4 linked regions of the Mus musculus genome follow. The protein of the gene in region 4 purifies or fractionates together with the protein of the main gene of each other region. This does not show direct contact. Links are inferred from orthologs where the notes say so. Each region holds a gene or a part of one and is shown on either strand. Other genes may lie near its edges.

Evidence for each region.
Region 1: the proteins of Smc3 (region 4) and Rec8 purify together in Homo sapiens (affinity purification with mass spectrometry; 3 studies listed by BioGRID and IntAct, with this or other methods). This does not show direct contact. The link is inferred for Mus musculus from reciprocal best matches to the Homo sapiens genes SMC3 and REC8.
Region 2: the proteins of Smc3 (region 4) and Cdca5 purify together in Homo sapiens (affinity purification with mass spectrometry; 7 studies listed by BioGRID and IntAct, counting the BioPlex papers as one, with this or other methods). This does not show direct contact. The link is inferred for Mus musculus from reciprocal best matches to the Homo sapiens genes SMC3 and CDCA5.
Region 3: the proteins of Smc3 (region 4) and Pds5a purify together in Homo sapiens (affinity purification with western blotting; 8 studies listed by BioGRID and IntAct, with this or other methods). This does not show direct contact. The link is inferred for Mus musculus from reciprocal best matches to the Homo sapiens genes SMC3 and PDS5A.

Annotation. Positions count from the first base shown.
Region 1 is NC_000080.6:55,622,909-55,626,382, forward strand, and holds the end of Rec8 (meiotic recombination protein REC8 homolog), read left to right. Parts: intron 1-255; coding exon 256-305; exon of another isoform or gene 306-473; intron 474-588; coding exon 589-726; intron 727-1,012; coding exon 1,013-1,079; intron 1,080-1,167; coding exon 1,168-1,334; intron 1,335-1,440; coding exon 1,441-1,489; intron 1,490-1,814; coding exon 1,815-1,878; intron 1,879-1,976; coding exon 1,977-2,093; intron 2,094-2,164; coding exon 2,165-2,271; intron 2,272-2,367; coding exon 2,368-2,453; 3' UTR 2,454-2,487; downstream 2,488-3,474. Other genes in the region: Ipo4 (importin-4), read right to left, coding at 3,003-3,133, 3,246-3,315. UniProt on the Homo sapiens protein: Required during meiosis for separation of sister chromatids and homologous chromosomes.
Region 2 is NC_000085.6:6,083,033-6,088,351, reverse strand, and holds the start of Cdca5 (sororin), read right to left. Parts: upstream 3,256-5,319; 5' UTR 3,190-3,255; coding exon 3,144-3,189; intron 2,955-3,143; coding exon 2,863-2,954; intron 1,951-2,862; coding exon 1,885-1,950; intron 1,801-1,884; coding exon 1,765-1,800; intron 1-1,764. Other genes in the region: Zfpl1 (zinc finger protein-like 1), read left to right, coding at 3,899-4,000, 4,292-4,403. UniProt on the Homo sapiens protein: Regulator of sister chromatid cohesion in mitosis stabilizing cohesin complex association with chromatin. May antagonize the action of WAPL which stimulates cohesin dissociation from chromatin.
Region 3 is NC_000071.6:65,695,126-65,700,394, forward strand, and holds the start of Pds5a (sister chromatid cohesion protein PDS5 homolog A), read right to left. Parts: upstream 3,112-5,269; 5' UTR 2,625-3,111; intron 1,813-2,624; 5' UTR 1,773-1,812; coding exon 1,638-1,772; intron 1-1,637. UniProt on the Homo sapiens protein: Probable regulator of sister chromatid cohesion in mitosis which may stabilize cohesin complex association with chromatin. May couple sister chromatid cohesion during mitosis to DNA replication.
Region 4 is NC_000085.6:53,598,763-53,603,917, forward strand, and holds the start of Smc3 (structural maintenance of chromosomes protein 3), read left to right. Parts: upstream 1-1,633; 5' UTR 1,634-1,777; coding exon 1,778-1,792; intron 1,793-2,720; coding exon 2,721-2,796; intron 2,797-5,155. UniProt on the Homo sapiens protein: Central component of cohesin, a complex required for chromosome cohesion during the cell cycle. The cohesin complex may form a large proteinaceous ring within which sister chromatids can be trapped.

The sequences.
Region 1 (3,474 bases), on a different chromosome or scaffold from region 4:
TTAAGAACACTTGCACAGTAGCAGAGACAAAAGCCTGTACCCACCACCTTCTGAGGGAGACCCTGGGTGGCTTCTTGTGCTGGTAGCTGTAAGAGTGAGGACTAGTCTACTGTGGAGCTTGTGTCTGTAGCCCAATCACTTGCAGAAGCTGGGGCTGAGGCAGGATAGCCATAAACTTGAAGCCAGCTTAGGCTATAGGGCCAAACCTTGTCTTTAAAAGAAAAAAAGTGAGAGGGCTTATGGGTATTGTTGCAGAGGTGACCCCACCTCAGGAGCTGCGGCTGCCTGCCCCACCCAGTACAGAGGTGAGTAGGTTCTTCTCCAAGCTGTCTTTTTACTTTCCCCTACGACACCCTTGTCCCTAAGCCCAGGACCATTCCGAGTGTACAGTGAGGATTTTGCTTCTATCAGTAAAAGATACCCCTTTCCATAGGTCACGGTGTGGCCTCGCTTCCCAGTCGGTGTAAGCTTGAGTAAGGACCTTACCCCCGCTTCTTCCCCAGACAACTGAGAAGGGGCAGTGTGGGCCCACAGGTGGTCTGCTGGGAAATGGAGAATAACCTGACTTTTGCCTCCCTCCAACTCCAGAAGAGGCTCCCGTCTCTTCAGAGGCCACTTCCCCGCCGACACCGGCGGCGCCAGTTATTATTCTGGGACAAGGAGACCCAGATCTCTCGGGAGAAGTTTGAGGAACAACTGCAGACTGGGGCTCACTGCTGGGAGTATGTGAGTACAGCCCAGGTCACCCTAGGGAATAGAGGGATGCGGGTCTGGCTGGACTTCTGAACTCCTAAGAATAATGGGAACCTGACAAAAAAAGGCCCTATTTCCTAGATGTGAGGGACTGCTTATACAGACACCAGGCTAGCAGCTGGCTTAGCCTCAAGCACTATAGGGCGGGTCTTGAGCCTGAACACAGGGGCAGGGGCCCTGGGAACTAAGGATGGCAAAGGAGGGGCAGGAAGAAGGGGCTTGCTCATAAAAGGGCCAATGGCCTTCCACCATCTTGCAGCCAGTGGCCCAGCCTCCCAAGAGGATGCTCACAAGCCCAGCGGAGCTCTTCAGAACCCCAACTCTCTGTAAGAATGGTGAAGACTGGAGCAGGTGGGAGCTTCAGAGCCTGGGAGCTTCAGTTTTATGATTGAAACCCATTTCCTCTCTTGTCAGCTGGCTGGCTACCCCCAGAACTCCTAGGTTTATGGACACACTGTGCCCAGGTCCCCCAAAGAATGCTCAGACAAAGGCCACAGCTGGAGACTGAGGAGACAGTGGAGGAAGAGAGAGCAGCAGATGAGGAAGAGAGGAGAAAGACTGAAGCTCTGAGCGAGATCGAGGTGACGCCCCCCAGCCCTGGCGAGCTCCGGCTGCCTCCTCATGCACACCACACTGAGATCCCGACACTCGGTGCTTGGGCCTCAGCTCTTGCTCTCCCGCCTGCAGGTTCTGAGGGAGGCCCAGGAGCCCAGTGGTCCCCTCATGCTGTCTTCAGGTAAGCACTTGGACAGGAGGGGAGAATGGAGACAGTCCTAACCAGTCTCAGGCAGCTAGTGCCCTAGCTGCTGAGGCCATGTCTGACAGCGAGGGAGCACGCAGAACGTGAAAGCATAGATTTGATTCTCCAGCACTCCCGCTTTTGTACACGTCTAAACTAGGCTCCAGATCATGAGGGAAGCTTTGTAGTCCCCGAGACTGAACACTGGGCCTTGTCATGTCAGGCAAATGCTTCACCACTGAACTACACCTCTAGTCTGGCTACAAGGCCCCCCAATTCCTCAGAGTCAAGCAGGCTCCCTCAGTGCTCTCTCCCTCAACAGAGCTCTCCCTAGAAGCAGCAGAAGATGAAAAGTCTCGTACTAGCCTCATCCCCCCAGAATGGTGGTAAGCATCCTGGTGGCGCAAGCGCACAGCCTAGTGGCCCCCACCTTTGTCACTGTCATGACTACCTGCCCCCCTCCCTGATTCCTTTGGTTTCCTAGGGCCTGGTCTGAGGAGGGGCAGCCCGAGCCCCCTGCACTGCCCATGCTGCCTGAACTTCCTGAAGTGCCCATGGAGATGCCCCCAAGGCCTGAACTCTCTTCAGAGGCTGTGCTCAGGTATCCGAGAGGCTTCCCTCTAGGGGTGGGACCAGGCTGTTATCCCAGCTGACACCCCTCCATTCCTGCAGGGCAGTAGCACTGAAACTGCAGGCCAACAAGGAGCTGGACTTCAGCAGCCTGGTGCCCCCTCTCAGCCCCCGAAAGTTGGCTTCTCGGGTCTTCTATCTGCTCTTGGGTGAGTGGGTACAAGAAAGCAGGGACAGGCAGGCCGGCCAGAGGCTGCTACAGCACACTCTAGATACTGTGGTGACCTGCCTTCTTTTCTGACCAGTGCTGTCCACACAGAAGATCCTTCTTGTGGAACAACAGAAGCCATATGGGCCCCTCCTGATTCGTCCTGGACCCAAATTCCCCTGAGCAAGTTCATTAAACCATATCCTGCCTCACTGGACTTTGCCTCTTTTTTTTTTTCAAGATTTATTTTTAATTTTAAATTATGTGTGTGTGCCAGCCAGATGTGCAAGGGAATGAGGGAATTAAACCTCTGGAGCTCAAGGCTGTCTGAGCCGTCCAGTGGGGGTGGACCGCATTCTGACTTCTGCAGGGACAGTATGTCCTCAGCGCAGCCCCTCCCTTCCCAGTCTCAGCTCTGAACACATACCTCTAGCCTTTGTGCAGAAAGCTAGTGTCCAAGCAGAAGACAGGCCACCTTTATTATAGTATGACGTCACAGCTCTGCTTTCTTATAGTATGACGTCACAGCTGCTTCCTTATAGTATGATGTCACAGCTCTGCTTTATTATAGTATGATGTCACAGCTCTGCTTTATTATAGTATGATGTCCAGCCCCAGAGACACCCCTGTTAAAACAGCACAGTTGACTTCAATGGATAGAGTCTTTGGTAAGGTGAACTGGACCAGGGCTGACCTCGGTCTTCGGACCCCTGGCCCCTGTGGCCTATAGTCTTAAGTGAGGCCCATCATGGCCTGAAGTTCCTGAGCTTTATCATTTGGCAGAGAGCCCAGGGCTGTGTGGAAGCTGTCGGTGTGCTGCTTGGCCAGGAACGTCAGGAGCAGCAGCAGGGCCGCCTTGGTGTCTGGGTAGAATAGAGAGAGGCCTGATGAAGGACCTGGTTCCTCCGCCCATAGTACCTCAGGCTCTCTGAGCCCTGCCTGTCCCCACTCTCCCTTGCCCTCTGTCGGCCTCACCTGGAGGGATCCGGTTGTCCGGCAGGATCAGGCTGCAGATGCGCAGGAGTTCTGAAGCCACATCCACAACCTATGGAATAGAACTGGTCAACCGGGGCAGCGAAGCAGGGCTTAGAGCAGGCCGTTGAAACCAAGGACAGAAGCCTGTGAGCTTGTCTGAACTGACACCCAACACAACCCGAATAAAGAAACATGGTAACAACCTCTTTTTAGAGGTTAAGATGTGTAA
Region 2 (5,319 bases), about 48 Mb from region 4:
GAGAATTTTGTTCTGCAGCCCTGGCTGGCCTGCAACTCAGAGATCCTTCTGCCTCTGCCCCCCAAGTGCAGGAATAAAGGTGTGCACCACCACTGCCACCACCCAGCTGATTCTGTCTTCTGACCCCGAGTGTTCCTCACTGTGTTCTTTTTTTTGTTGTTGTTGTTTTGTTGTTGTTGTTTTTTCGAGACAGGGTTTCTCTGTATAGCCCTGGCTGTCCCGGAGCTCACTTTGTAGACCAGGCTGGCCTTGAACTCAGAAATCCGCCTGCCTCTGCCTCCCGAGTGCTGGGATTTTAGGCGTGCGCCACCACACCGGGGCCACCACCATCTTAGTTGGGCCTTCACCATCTTAACTCTCCTCATTGGTCCTAGGACTCCAATGACGTCATTCACAGAGAAACCTTTCTACAATACTTCGGCTTTATTATGTCAGTACTTTGGTTAAAAGCTGGTTGGGAAGCTAGGTGGGGTAGTGCATGCCTTTAACCCTAGCACTAGGGTGGGGGTTGAATCTCGGTGAGTTTGAGGCCTGCCTGGTCTTCAAAGCAAGTTCTAGGACTTGAAAACCCACCTCCACCATCACAAGATGGCTGGGATTATCTCAACAGCAGGGTACCTGCTTAGTACTGCCCTGGGATAGATCTCCAGCACCACACACATCAGAATAACAAATCAAACTGGCAATTTGCCTCACGTCTGCAATTCCCAGGACACTGAGAAATACCAGGCAGGAAGAGTACCAAAGCCAGCCAGCAACACAACCCTGGTCAGAGAGCAAAGCACCACTGGGTACACTTGGGAGATTGAAAAATCAGGAATTCAAAACCAGCTTTACGCACATACTAAATTCAGGGCCAGGCTTGGCCACAGGTAACCCTGGCTGTCTTGGAACTCACTCTGTAGACCAAGCTAGCCTATAAGTCAAAAGAGATCCACTTGCCTCTGCCTTCTGAGTGCTGGAATTAAAGGTGTGCACCAGCACCCAGCACCTTTTACACTGCGTATGCATGTGTCCGGAAGAGGGCGTTGGATACTCTCAAACTGAAGCTGTAGGTGTGTAGGGTCCATCTGATGGAATCTGAAAACTGCTTTTACCCAGAACCATCTTTCCAGCCCCTACACATAACTCATTCTATAACCATAAAACAAACAAACAAACAAACAAAACATAAATAAACACTCAGCAAAACAACCTTATCACTCTGTGGACCAGGCTGGCCTAAAACTCCGAGATCCGCCTGCCTCTGCCTCCCAAATCTTGCGACTAAAGGCGTGCGCCATCACAACATCACAACAAAACAGTGGCAAAACAGTCTACAGAAGCCCAGTGGTTAAACCATAACTTTTTAAGAAAAATAGTGAGAATGTTCAGAGCATAAAGAACTAGAAATGAGGGGTTGGGGTTGGGGATTTAGCTCAGTGGTTTTCAGCTCTGGGGAACAAAACAAAACAAAACAAAAAAACCCAAAAAAAAAAAGAAATGAATGACACCCATAGGCAGGAAACAAGACTGGTAACTACAGTCAGTCCTGGTAGCATGCCCATCTCTAAGATTTGAATCTATCTGCAGAGACTGGTGCAGGTGGATCTCTATGAATTTGAGGCCAGTCTGGTCTACCGTAACTTCCAGTTCAGGAAACAGTGTTATACACTGAGACCTAAACTGACAAGCCATGAAGCAGTTGCCTGGGTAGAAGTGTATGCCTACCCTCTAAGGGTAAATCCTACACAAATAAACAGAAATAAACAGAACTGAACTCACCCTAGGACTTCTTCGAACCGTGTGGACATCTGGGACCTGTAGGGATGACATCAACTGATCAATCAATAGCTAAGCCCAGTTTTGACATCTCACTCCCAAAGCCTTCTCTCAGCCCCTCACCTCTACTGCATGAGCTACGATCTTCTTCAAGACGATGGCCTTTCTGACTGGGACCGCTGGAGTTGTCTGGGGGGGGTAAAAGAAAGTATTATCCATGAGCTTTACAATAGTTCAAAGCCCTCTAGGTCAGTGTAAAAGTACTTTGGGAGCCGGGCAGTGGTGGTGCACGCCTTTAATCCCAGCACTTGGGAGGCAGAGGAAGGTGGATCTTTGAGTTCGAAGCCGGCCAGGTCTACTAAGTAAGTGAGTTCCAGGACAGCCAGGGCTATACAGAGAAACGTTGTCTCGAGGAAAAAAAAAAAAAGTACTTTGGGGGTGTTGCTGAGAAAAGTTTTCCTTATCTTCTATCCAAGACTTCTCAGCCTCTAAGCCTGGTTCTAAGTTTGTAAGTTCTTGCACCATGTTGGGCACCAACTGTGGAAGCATTGGGCGGGAGTTTTTTGACTCCCTTGCTCCCAAATAACTGCAGGGCATTTCTTCCCCCCAACGCCACTACCTCCTGAGTAAAGGACACAGAGCTGTTATTCAAAGGCTGCTGGCACTATGTTGGGCAGGTTCTGAGCTACTCTAACCCTCTCAGGCTGCCTATCTACCAGTCACACGGTCCTCTACCTGAATCTCAGTCTTACTCTGACTCAATCTGGTCCATGTGTGCCCTCATGACTGCTCTCTCCCTCCTCTTGACCTTAGAGTGAAACCACCTGCTCTCTCCGCGCCTCCCCCTCTCCCACTTCTCTCTCCCTAGACTCTTCCGGACGCCTCAATGGGCGCTGATGTCCCGCCTCCTCTGTCCTCTCCTGCCCAGCCATAGGCTGATCAGCTCTTTATCAACCAATCAGAGATGATTTAAAAAAAAAAAAACAACAGTGAGCCCGGAGGTGCTAGTTAGCCGGACTAAGGATACCTAGGCATAGAAATTAGCATCTGAATACGCAGCGCACAAACCCAACCCCAACACCTGGGGGACCAGGAACTCACCCTCGGCCAGATTTCAGAGAACGAGTTCGGGAGATCTGAGCCAGATTTCCGCTTGGACGACTTCGAAGGCTTAGTAAGTGAAGTCCTGGGCCCTGGAAAGGAAAACACGTTTGATGGTGAGCAAAACTTTGCTCGAAGAAAAGGCGACAAACAAACGAAACAAGATGCTTGACGAGTTCGGAAAAGCAAAAGTCGTTTTCCAACTACCCCTTTGGGGCGTCTTCCACCGGGAGCCAAGTTTTGTTCCCCAAACAACCCCGCTCCACTGCTCCCGTGCTCACCAGACCGCTGGGCAGCCCCTCCTGATCGTGTTCGCCGCTCCGCCATGTGTACGGTCGGGCTCAGTCTCCGCCGCGGTCGCCTACTCAGGCTCGCGCCAACCGGGAACTTTGCTGCTTCAAACGTTCAAATTGCCCGCCTTGCTAGCGAGAAAGCGGAAGTGACACAGGCCGGAGGCGGACCATCCGCTTTTGTTGTCACAGGCTTTACGTCTAGCTAGCAAAAGGCAGAGGCGTATCCTGCGGCGCTGTGGCGTCATCAGCGTGCGCCGCACCCGGAAGAGACGTGGCAGCGGAGGGATAATCAGGCCGGACCTGAAGGGAGCGGAGCTGCAGCTACCGGAGTTGGTGAGCTCAGTCCCCGGCCTTCCGCGCTTTTCATTACCGTACGCACCGGTCACGATCGGCATCGCGGAGGTTCGCGGACATCCAGAATGTGGTCGGCCAGCTGGGGGCGGGTCAAGAGGGGGTGGGTCTTGGGGGCGGGGCTGGTGGTATTGGAGCTGTGCAGAGATCTGGCGAGGGCCTTCCTGGGTCTTGATGGAATGAAGGGTCGGTCGTTTGTGGTACGATCTGTACAGGAGACGTGGCTTTACCCATGCTAAGGCATTATGCTAGAATTTGGTGTTGGGACTGGTGTGAGACGGGACTGAGAGATTTAAAAGAAGAGAACTGGGTTGGTGAAAACAAACTGGCAGCCACCAAAACCTGGCTTCCTGCTAACTGATTTCACCCCACCACACCCTCCAGGATCGGTCATGGGACTTTGCAAGTGCCCCAAGAGGAAGGTGACGAACCTGTTCTGCTTCGAACACCGAGTTAACGTCTGCGAGCACTGCCTAGTAGCCAATCACGCCAAGGTGGGGCGTTTAGAGCAGTGTCTGAGCAGGGCGGGTGGGTGGGCAGACAAGATTGCCTACTTCTAAATCCATGTGGGGACCTATGCTAGACTGTAAGCTCCACAAGGGCAAGAACATGGGGTGTGATGCGCTCTGCTATGCCTTCAGTAGCTGCTCAATAAATGGTCACTCAATAAATGGAACAGATGAAATGATGAGTCTGATGAGAGAAAACGAGGCATTTGAGCCTTGGAGTGGTGTGTGCATCGTGGAGCCTGGGGCACCAGTTGTGACATCTCTCTCCCACTCCAGTGCATCGTGCAGTCCTACTTGCAGTGGCTACAAGATAGTGACTACAACCCCAATTGCCGCCTGTGCAACACACCCCTGGCCAGTCGGGAGACCACCCGTCTTGTTTGCTATGGTGAGGCCTGGGAAGGGGTCAGGGCAGCCCCAGGATCCAGCTTGGATACAGGTTTGATAGCATCTTTCAAGAAGCAAGACAGTGAGTCCCTCAAGCGTGGAGGTCAGAGCCTCAGATCCTGATTCCTTTAGGTACCGTCCTGTTTTATAAAGCCTCAGCAAGCCTTTTCTCTTCGTAGGCCTTAGAATCTTCCCTGAAAGTTAGAGCTTCTCCTTCCTGCTCTGCCAGTCTGGGAGAGCTAGAGATGACTATGAGCTGTGGCTGGGAGAAAGATCCACTTTAGGGGATGTTACTGACCCCGATACTGTACCCAGAGGAAGCTATCCATGTTACAGTTTGCTGGGAGTCGGTAGTCAGAGCCTAGTATAAAAAAAAGCCTCAGCTTAGCTTGTTCAAGGTGCTGGTCCAAAAGGGGGCAGCTCCACCTGAATTTCTCCATGTGAAATTATGTGTCCACTCATACAGATGTATGTGTTGGTTAGTACTTGTGGGTGAGTAGATGGGTGATGAGTGTTTGTGAGCACATATCCCATGGGATGCATGATGACATGAAGGTGGGGAGTGTTAGGGGATATGTGTTACAGATGTGTACATGTATGACTACTAGTGTACTTTGAGGGAATGGCTCTCAAGTTTGCTTGTGTATTTATAAGCACTGTGTATTTGCCTCTGGATATCTGCATGTATCAGTGTCTGGGAAGCTTTCCTGATAGTGTTCTTGTATGTAGGTTTGTTTTGTTTTGTTTTGTTTGAGACTGGGATTGTGGGGCTGACCTTGAAATCTTACTCCTGCCTCCACCTCCCAAGTGCTAGGATTAGGCACTGCCAGCCTGAAACTATTGTTGTGTAGTCATTAGCCCAAGGAGTGTGATTTTAGGCCAGAGAAGACTCTTGAAAGGGTGGAAGGTATTTTCTT
Region 3 (5,269 bases), on a different chromosome or scaffold from region 4:
AGTTTAATATGTGCTCCCTGCACAAGTCCCTACCTCTAGCCCTGGAAAAAGAAATGGAAAGAAAATGGAAAAGGTGCCTTTTAATTAAAGAAACCAGGTCTTTCAAAAAGGCAACAAATGGAAACTTAAACACAGGAACACTTTAAACACACAACATTTACTGGGCACTGTGCTCAATCCTAAAATCAGGCCCTAGAAATCCATTTTATAAAGTTGCATAAGGCAGAAACATTGTCCTCGATGTTCCCTGCCTAGCCTTCCACCATGTCTGACTTTGAAGTGCACCTTTTAACACAATGGGTCTCAACCTTCCTATTGCTTCCTCATGTTGTGGTGACCTCAAACAAAATAATTGCATTGCTACTTCATAACTGTAATTTTGCTACTGTTATGAATTACAGTGTTAATACCTAATAGACAGGATATCAGATAGTTGGGGGGGGGTCTCGACTCACAGGTTGAGAACCACTGTTGTTGGCAGGGTGTGGTTATGCCACTAGTGTTTTGGGAAGTGGAGGCAGGAAAATGGTTAAGTTCAAGGGCAGGCAGCTGGGTTACTAGTCCTCTTTTTTTTTTTTTTTTTAAAGATTTATTTTACTTATATGAGCACACTGTAGCTGTCTTCAGACACACCAGAAAGGGCCATCAGATCCCATTACAGATGGTTGTGAGCCACCATGTGGTTGCTGGGAATTGAACTCAGGACCTCTGGAAGAGCAGTCAGTGCTCTTAACTGCTGAGCCATCTCTCCAGCCCACTAGTCCTCTCTTAAACAAGTCATCAAACCCATTCTTTGCCTCTCCCACTGTCCACACTGTACTTCAATAGTTTAAGATCTTTCACTAGACAACTGTTAGCCTCCTCACAGAACGTCACAGCCTACTCCCCACAAGCCAACTGTGACAACCAAAATGACTCTGAAATTGCCTACAACACCCCCTGGTGCATCAAAGTTGTCCAAAGTGACAATCACTGCTCGAAACTGATTCCATAACAAACACTGCCCTATGCAGTAGCAGAAAAGTTAAGTCCCAAAATGACAGCGCAAGATTGTTACACCAAGAAAACCGGTGCGCACACACAAACACAAACTCACAGACATATCAACAATCCCGTCCTTCAACTCTCTTGGGCATGTGTACTAAAATCATCATTTCTCCTTAAGCTCGAATTCTGAAAAATCTGTACACTGTATTAAGTTTAGCCCACTGTATAGATAGTTAAGCTCCCATTAGAAAATTACGAGAATCTAAGGGGGACAATATGGTTGTTTGTGCTCAAGTCAGTCTTTTCTTGGAGTAGATAATAATAGGAACTTTCGTGGGTAAAATCACTGTCTACACCTCAGGGTATCGAGCCCCTTAAACAACATCCACTAAATAAAATAACCACAAGGGAAACAACTAACCATGCATGCGTTCTTATGGACAGAAAATGATCACACTCTTTAAATTCCCCGTCCTTTCAGAACTTATCCAAAGATACCGCCAAGTTAGAACAGGACTTTTCCGGGGCGGTTAAGATATCTTCAAAAACTTAGTACTAAAAACTCCAAAGGCCAGGTTGAGAGTAGTCCAATGAAACCACACGAGTCACAAAAGCCATCCAGAGCGCAGATCGCCGACCCAGACCCTTACCTTCAGACGTTTGATCATTTCATCGGTGGTGATCTTGTCGGTGATCTCTTTTACTCCCGGAGGGTAAGCGATCTTCCCGTCCGCACTCACGACGCCACAGAGGGCAGTGGCAGGCTTCGGCTGCGTGAAGTCCATCCTGGGGAATAACTTTTCTCTCACAGTCCTCTACCGGCCTCTATCGGTCAGAAAATCAAAGTTCAGCGGGAAAAGGGGCGACTTTGTAACCTCTTTTTCATTTCAAAAATCTCTAATCTAGAAAGGGCCCTTTCTTCCCCCCGAGGCCGGGGACCCCGCCACTCGCTCCTTCCCTGGGTTTCGGACCCGGCTAGGCGTCCGCCACCCCCACCCGAGCCAGCCCCGGTGCCACGGGGTTCTCGGCTGCAGCAGCCCCGGCCGCGAGAGGCGCCGAGCAGCTCCCGGAGTTTCCTAGCCCTCTTTTCACAATGAAATGTATCCCCGAGCACCTAGGACGGAAGTTTGGTGGCCTCGGGGGGACATTGAGGACCCAACGGCCCCACTTGGCTCAGGAGAAGCGGCTGGGTCCCCGCCTGGCCGGTCACCTCCGGGAAAGGAGACTCGAGGCCTAGAGGGTTCAGCTTAGGCCGCAAAACTAGGTACCCAAGAGGACCCACGCGCGGCGCCGGCGCCCGGGAGCAGAACGCCATAGCCGTGCCGAGCCCCGGGCTCCCGGCGTCCCCGCCGCGCGGCCGCCCCTCCCCGGCCAGCCCGCCACCCCCGCCAGCCGCCCGAGCCCCTCGCCAGGAAGCGAAGGACCCGGCTCCGCACTTCACATTTTTGTTCCTTAACTTCAGCAACCGAGCCCGGCGGCATCTCAAGCCCCTCGGTCGCCCGGCGCTCCTCGGCACCGCCAAGGCCTGAGCCGCCGCTCCGGGCAACCCCGCCGGGCCTCCGCGCGCGCCCTCCCCTGCGGTCTCCCCTTCCGTCCCTCCCTCGCCGCCGAGGGCGCGAGCCCGGCCGCCGCTTTACCTCCTCCTCATGCGGGCGGACGGTGCAGCGAGCGCCGGGCCTCTGTCAGGTGGTTGCGCCGCCGCCGCCGCCCCTCGTCGGGCTGCACACAAAGCGGCTCCGTCCGTCCCGCCGCCGCCGCCGCCGCCGCCCGCCCGCCCCGGAGCGGCGCTGGGGCTGGCGGTGCCGAGGAGCAGCCGCCGCGGGGGGAGAAGCGGGCCGAGCGTGCGCCGGCCGGGGCGACACTGCCGCTCTCCGTCGGGCTGAGGAAGCGCAGCCTCGGCCGCGGCTCCTCCGAGAGCCCGCGCGCGGGTGCACGCCCGCGCGTCCCCCGCGCCCGCCCGGCCGCTCGCTCGCTCGCCGGCCGGCCGCCCGCACCTCGCGCCCACCCGCACCAGACGCCCTCTCGCCGCGGCGCGCTCCCGGCCCGCCCGTGCCCCGCGGAGCCTGAGCGTCGCCGCGCACAGCCGGAGCCCGTCACGCGAGCGGCGCGAGAGCCCGCGAGAGCACCGCGCGCCTCGCTCCCGCCCCTTCTTCCGCCGGCCGAGCCCCCGCCTCCCTCGAGCCCGACGCGGCCGCGCGCGTGGTGGACAGCGCCGCCACCCGTTTGGCGCCAAGACCTGCCCGCGCGGGCGCCTCCGGGGGGCCGGCAGCCGAGCCGGCGCGCGGAGGAGGAGCCCCGGTGGCGGGAAGCGGACCCCGGGAGGCGCGGCTTTGCGACACTCCCGGCCACCGCTGTCGCGGAGTCCGGGGCTCTTGAAGGCTTGGCTGGCGGGGATGTGACCGGACCGGTGGAGAAATGGTTAATTATCTGGAGAAACGGCTGCTTTCCCCTCCAAACAGAGCTCTGGAAGCCGAGGCAAAGTTTTACAACTCGGGCTGCTCATTCTCGCGTCTTCCGGAGAGTCGCCCTAGGTCGCAGCCTACGACCTTAGTTAGACTCCTACCATTAAGGTTTTCAAAGCTGCAAAATAGGAAGTTGGCATGCGATCTCAAGCTATGGTGCCGGGGCTTCTGGCCTCCCAGTCATTTTGGGTACAGGCTGAAAACACAGACTAGGGTTCCTGATAGTGAAGCCCAGAAGAAGAAAGAGGGAGGGTGTTTTTAGAGATTTACAAATTACCTATGTGAATCTGAGACCTCTTTTTTTTTTTTAAGTTGTGAATACACCAAAGCTCTACTTTTTCTCTCCTCCAAAGGAAAGGCTTGCCAAAGAAAACTTAGTGCAGCGGTGCTTGAGCAATTTAAGGTAAATATTGAAGCGAATGAACCTGAACAATACACACATAATTTCAGGAAACCACCTTTTAAAACAATAAGCAAGCCGGGCAGTGGTGGCACACGCCTTTAATCCCAGCACTTGGGAGGCAAAGGCAGGCGGATTTCTGAGTTCGAAGCCAGCCTGGTCTACAGAGTGAGTTCCCGGACAGCCAGGGACAGCCAGGGCTACACAGAGAACCGTCTCAAAAAAACAAAAACAATAAGCAGAAGGGGGTGATGGTGGTGCACGCCCTTAATCCTAGCATTTGGGAGATAGAGGCAAGCGGATCTCTTGAGTTCAAGGCACCCTGGTCAATCGAGCTAGCTCCAGGACGTCAGACAGCCAGGGCAACAAAGAACCCCTGTCTCAAAAAAAGTAAAAAATATTAATAATAATAATGAAAAGAGGAAGAAGCTAGGCCGTTATGGTTCACGCCTTTCAACGGGAGGCAGAGGCAGGCAAATCTTTGATTTCGAGGCTAGCCTGGTCTACAGAGTAAGTTCCAGGATGGCCAGGGAAACCCTATCTCAAAAAAACAGAAAGAAGAAGCTGGCAGCAATTGAATTTATACATTGTTCTTTAAAATGCCCACCTTTTAACTGGCCTATGGTTGCAGCTAAATCAAAAGATTTAGGCAAGAGGATTTTTTTGAACTCAAGATTTCCAGTAATATGAATATGCTAGTAATACGTGGCAGGGAGGAGCCAGGTCTCCTCTGATATGCCAGTGGTCCCAGAACTTGGAAGGCTGAGGTAAAAAGATTTGGGAGACCTAAAGAATAAAAACAGGAGGGGAAAAAATGTATTGGTTTTTTTTGTTTGTTTGTTTGATTGGTTTTGGCAGAGTCCCACCATATCCTGAGGCCAGCCTGGAACTTACTATATAGCCCAGGCTGGCTCCTCAGTCTTCCTGTCTCCATCTCTGAAGTACAGGGATTGCAGATAGGCACCCTTATGTGCCATTATGCCCAGCAACTATCCATTATTGAAAGGTATTCTCATATAGGAAGGTAAAAATATAATATGCAGTGTATTACTTTGTTATTATTTCTCTAAACCACTGTTTCACCTTTGTGGAGACAAACCATCACCAAGGCAATTCTTATGAAAGAAAACATTCAATTAGGGCCTTTCTTACAGTTTCAGAGGCTTGGTCAACTACCCCAAAGCATGAAGGGAGGCAGAAGAGAGACACTGGGCCGAGCTTGGACTTTTGAAACCTTAAGGCCCACCCCCATAGCTACACTTCCTCTACAAAGCTAAACCTCCCAATCCTTTCAAATAGTGCCGGTTTTCCTGGCGACTTGTAAACCTGGCCGGCCATTCTTATGCAAACCTCCTATAGAGTATAACCTTGTAAGCTTTCAAAAGATAGTAAACCCTGAGATTTGTAACCTACTTGAAAC
Region 4 (5,155 bases):
GTTCTGGTGACTTCACTATTATTGAAAAATAGGGTCTCCTTCAAACCCACTAAGCAGTAGATGAATTTGAACTTTTGATCTTGCATCCACCTTCCCAGGGTTCTGGGATCACAGATGTGTGCCACTAGGCTACCCAGTGCTGGGGAAGCGTCTAAGACCTCCTGTATGACAAACTAGGGCTTTACCAACTGCACTGCAAACCCAGCCGTCATCCTGAGGAACTGAATGAAGGCTTAGAATTCTGTTTATAATATACCCCAAACCCTCACAAACTGACAGGGGTAGAGGTCCTTAACTCCCAAAATGAAATTTTAAATTAAATTTCTTTCTTTCTTTTCTTTCTCTTTTAATACTTTTTCTTTTTTTTTTTTTTTTCCCTCAAACTTTGGGTGGAATTTGGCCAGAGTTTCAGATAAAGGATTCCCAGTAGGGCACAAGATTTGCCCTTCCTCGTAGACATGTTGAGGGTGAGAACTGCCTCAGGAAGCAGGAATGGTGACCAGGACCTTATTAGGTCGTCCAGGTTTGTTTGTTTATTTCCCAGTAGGCAATTTTAGAGTTGCCCAGAACTCTACTCCCTACACTGATTGTATACATTTAGCCGGGCAGTGATGGCATAAGCCTTTAATCCCAGCACTGGGGAGGCAGAGGCAGGCAGATCCTGAGTTTGAGGCCTGCCTGGTCTACAGAGCGAATTCTAGGAAAGCCAGGGCTAAAAAAAATCCTATACATTTAGGGACTGACCCTAGTACCTACCTATTTCTTTTCTTTCTCTCTCTTACTTTCTTTTCGAGACAGGGTTTCTCTGTGTAGCCCTGGCTGTCCTGGAACTCACTTTGTAGACCAGGCTGGCCTCGAACTCAGAAATCCGCCTGCCTCTGCCTCCCGAGTGCTGGGATTAAAGGCGTGCACCACCACCCCGGCTCCTTTTTTTTTTTTTTTTTCTTTTTTCTTTTTTTTTTAATTTACCTATTTCAAGAAATTTATTTGTGGCAATTGTACAGGTCTTTCTATAAGGAGTTTAAAGTCATCCTTAGCTACAAGGTGAAATCGGGGCTTGGAAAACTAAAGACAACCTCCCTAAATCAATCCCTTCAAATGTCCTAGCGTCCTCCAGTTCTCTCAGAGCCGTCAGGAGGCTCGGAACCAGCAGGAGGCGCTCTGAGCTAATAAAGAGAATAATGGAAGCGCGGAGGTTCTGAGCTCAGAACCCCAGGCAGTCACAATGAGACCTACATTCAAGTCGGGCGCTAGGCTGACAGGCCACGTCCTTTTTAAGCGGCCCGGCGACCACGTGACCTCCGGCGCGCTCGGCGATTGGCTCCGCTCGTCTCACTCCAGGCTTTGGCGCCGAGCAGGCCCCGCCCCTCACGGGCGCGACCATAGTCCGTGCGTCCGGAGGTAGTTCCTGCCGGCCTCTGGAGCGGGGCTCCTCCGAGTCGGACTCCCAAGTGATTCTCAGCAAAACAAGAGGATAAGAAAATCCTTTTCTCAGATCAGGTCCGTCTAAGAGGGCCGCGGGAGAGGGGCCTTTCCTACGCGACAGAGTGGAACCGGCCCAGACTCCCCCTGCGATCCGCATCGCTTCCATCGTGGTTCCGCCCGACGCGCGGGCCCCGCCTCCGCGGCCGCCGCCATTTTGTTTGGCCACAGGGGGAGCGAGCGGGAGCGAGCGGAGCGCTGTGAGGAGGGGGCTGTCTTGCTCGTCTTCCGAGCCTGCGGCCGCGCTGCTGCGGTGCTGAGGCGACGCCTTCCCCCTGCCGAGGGGCGCGGAGCCATGTACATCAAGCAGGTAAGGGCCGTGAGAGGCGGCGGGGTGTCCCGGAGCGCGCCGCGGGTGGGTTAGGGCCGGCCTGGGCTTGGGGGGGCGGGGAGGAGCGGGGCCCTGACGAGCCGAGCGCCGGGCTGCAGTCGGCGCTTTCCCCCGGGGCGCGGTGCGTGGAGCCGAGCGGAGCCGAGCGGGACCGGGCGCGGCGGGCTGCAGGCGGAGGCCCGGCTTCCTCGGGCGCCGCGGGCTGCTGCGAGCTGCTGGGAGGCCGCGTCGTTCTGCAGGCAGGCATGGCGGTGCATGGACCGCCTTCGCGAGGCCCCGGGCTGGGCTGCAGGCTCTCTCCGCCTTGCCTCAGGCTTTGCCCCAGCAGGGCGGACCCTCGCAGCAGGTCGCGTCGCGCCTGCTCACTCGGTTGTTTACTTCTGTCAAAATGCTCTTCCCGCGCGCGAGCGCCGAGCCCCCGGGACACGCGCTGGGCGACGTTTTTCTATTGGACGGGTCAGGCTCGGAGCGTTGCGATCCTATCTATCCCCTTTTCACTTAATTTTTATTATCTTATTTCTTTTTCTCAATGGACTCATTGGGGCTGGCCAGTGGTTTGACTGAAGGATGCCCTCTCACTGGGCTCGCAGGCTGGCAAGCTGCGACCAGCTCGCTCGCCCGCCCGCTCGCCTGCCTGCTGTCTGGACCTTTACTGTCGTGCAGAGCTCGGGGTCGAAGCCGCTGGGTTTGGAGAGCTTCTCCCAGAGCAGCCCTGCACCAGCAAGGGTTGCAGGCCATGTCGGAAGGGGTTTAGCGAATCTTTAACTTGCTTGCTCCCGATCGCAATGGTCTCCGCCGAGTGGACCGTTTCTGTCTTGCCTTGCGTGAGAAGCAAGAGACGGAGAAGGAAAGAATGTTGCCCTAGAAGTGCTTTCTGTGTTCTCAAGGGTTGTCTCTTCTTTAATAGGTGATCATCCAGGGCTTCCGAAGTTACCGAGACCAAACAATTGTAGATCCCTTCAGCTCCAAACATAATGTCATCGGTAAGTAAGTGTTCTTGGTTTACCATGTTAGACTTAGAATTGCTACCGATAGACGTGACAGGCCAGGGGAGACGGGAGTTGTCTTTGAATGTTAATATTCCTCCATGGGATTACCTGTTTCGTGTCTGCACCGATGAATTGCTTATTTTATAAAAATAAAATTTTTGTGTAACTCAGACGGATAAATCATTTTGGAGCCCAGTGGTGTAAGTTAAGTAGTGGAATGTTTGCCTAGCGTGTGTGTGTGTGTGTGTGTGTGTGTGTGTGTGTGTGTGTGTAGGATGTTGATGATGTGTCTTCATTTCAGAACCTTTTACATGAGAGGGTGTCGCCTGTTTTGTTCTTAGTCCATCACTGTTACTTTCTTTGAAGGATGGCTTATTTGCAGATTGTGGTCTTTTTCCCTTGCCAATTTCTTTGTGAGTGTGAGTTTTTATGAGAGACGTGAACAGACACTACCTGTCTCAGAAGGCCATTGGAAAGAGTAAAGAGAAGGGATATGGAAATTTGAGATTAAAGCTCACATGATTGTTGCCATTAACAGTACTTAGTTAAGGTTTTTTTGGTGTTTAAAGTCTCCGTTTTGCTGAGGAAACCACGTGCCACTGAATTTTGAAGGATGGATGAAGTTAGTGCTAGACTTGAGAGGTTCTGGCATTGGTGGTTTGACTGTTACAGTGTCCTAGTTGCAGTTTGCTAGGCCAGCCAGATGAGGTACTCTAGACAGTGGGCTAGGTGGTCCTGGAGAATAGAGGTTGGGGTTTCTGGTACCAGCAGGAGTGAATTCTGATGGGGCCTCATCGGGACCTTATCTAGCACTGTCAGTACAGGATAGGTGAGATCTGCGAGCAGACTTAGTCGAGGGGAAAAAAATGCCAGTGTTCACAGAAGGCCTTTAGAGAACAAGGCATTATTTACATAACATATGAAAGAAAACAACGAAGGAAATCCAGGAGTGGTTACTTAGTTCCAGCTACTCAAGAGGCTAAAGTGAGAGGACTCTTGAGTTGAGGAATTGAAGATGAATGTAGTCTGTGGCAGGACGGTTGGAGGCTAGGCTCTTTCTGCTGTTGGTACATGGGCTGCCCCCTTTGTGAGAGTAGAGTAGCCTGCTGTTTGTTCTCCTTGTGCTTGAGCTACAGAGGGTGCTAACCGACTAACTCGCAGCACAAGCATCTCCATTGTACTGGGCTTTTGCTGCATTTCATTATAGGAGCTTCCTGGTGTTTGCTAGTCTGAAAATCCTAAAAATGGAGAAAAAGAAATAATAACTAGGTTTTATGATATTTCTTATACTTCTAAGCTGAAAAATGCCTTAATATTTCAGTTGTGTGGTTGTCATCTGTGGAGATAGTGATTGCTATCTAGAATCATGTCTATGAGGTCTGTTAAGTATTTTTGTTTTAGTCAGATAGCAGTAGTTCTTTCCCTTTGCTTGCAACATAGTTTCTTTTGAGAGGAAAGTAAGAATTCTTCTATGTTTTAACTAAGATAAAGCTCCTTTCTTGATGCTACTTTTCCTGCCTGGTGCTGTTCACTGTGAGACAGATGGGAAGTTGTTATTAATGGGAAGAAAGTGGGAAGTAGTTAGGCAGTGAAGTTGTCTTTTAAATATATAGTGATGGGCTGGGGAGGAAGCTCAGCAGTTAAGAGCGCTTGCAGAGGACCTAGTTTGATTCCCAGCACCCACAATGGTGGTTCATAACCATTCATAACTTGTTTGAGGGGATCCAATCAATGCTTCTGACCTCCTGGCACCAGACACACATGCATGATATGCATATACATACATGCAGGTAAGATACACATACACAGAAGATGAAATAAGTAAACCTAAAAAAAACCCAACTTGTTTAATGATTTTGAGCCTAAAATAAAAGATTTGAAAGCAAATACCTCTTGAGCTGATCTTTGCCTCTGTGATTGCCCAAATATTGTTTGCCCTGTATGTCCTTGTCTCCAGTCTTCAGATCTGACAAAGACAAACTGAAGATACATTAGAGCAAGGAAAAACTACCCTTGTGAATCTACAGTTTTTTTATCATTGTTCCCTAAAATAGTATACTATGACAGTTACTTATGTAGCATTTCTGGCAGAGAGTACAACAAAAGGATCAATTTCTTTGTCTTAGTCAGGGTTTCTATTCCTGCACAAACATCATGACTAAGAAGCAAGTTGGGGAGGAAAGGGTTTATTCAGCTTACAATTCCATACTGCTGTTCATCACCAAGGAAGTCAGGACTGGAACTCAAGCAGGTCAGGAAGCAGGAGCTGATGCAGAGGCCATGGAGGGACGTACCTTACTGGCTTGCTTCCCCTGGCTTGCTCAGCCTGCTCTTATAGTACCATGACTACCAG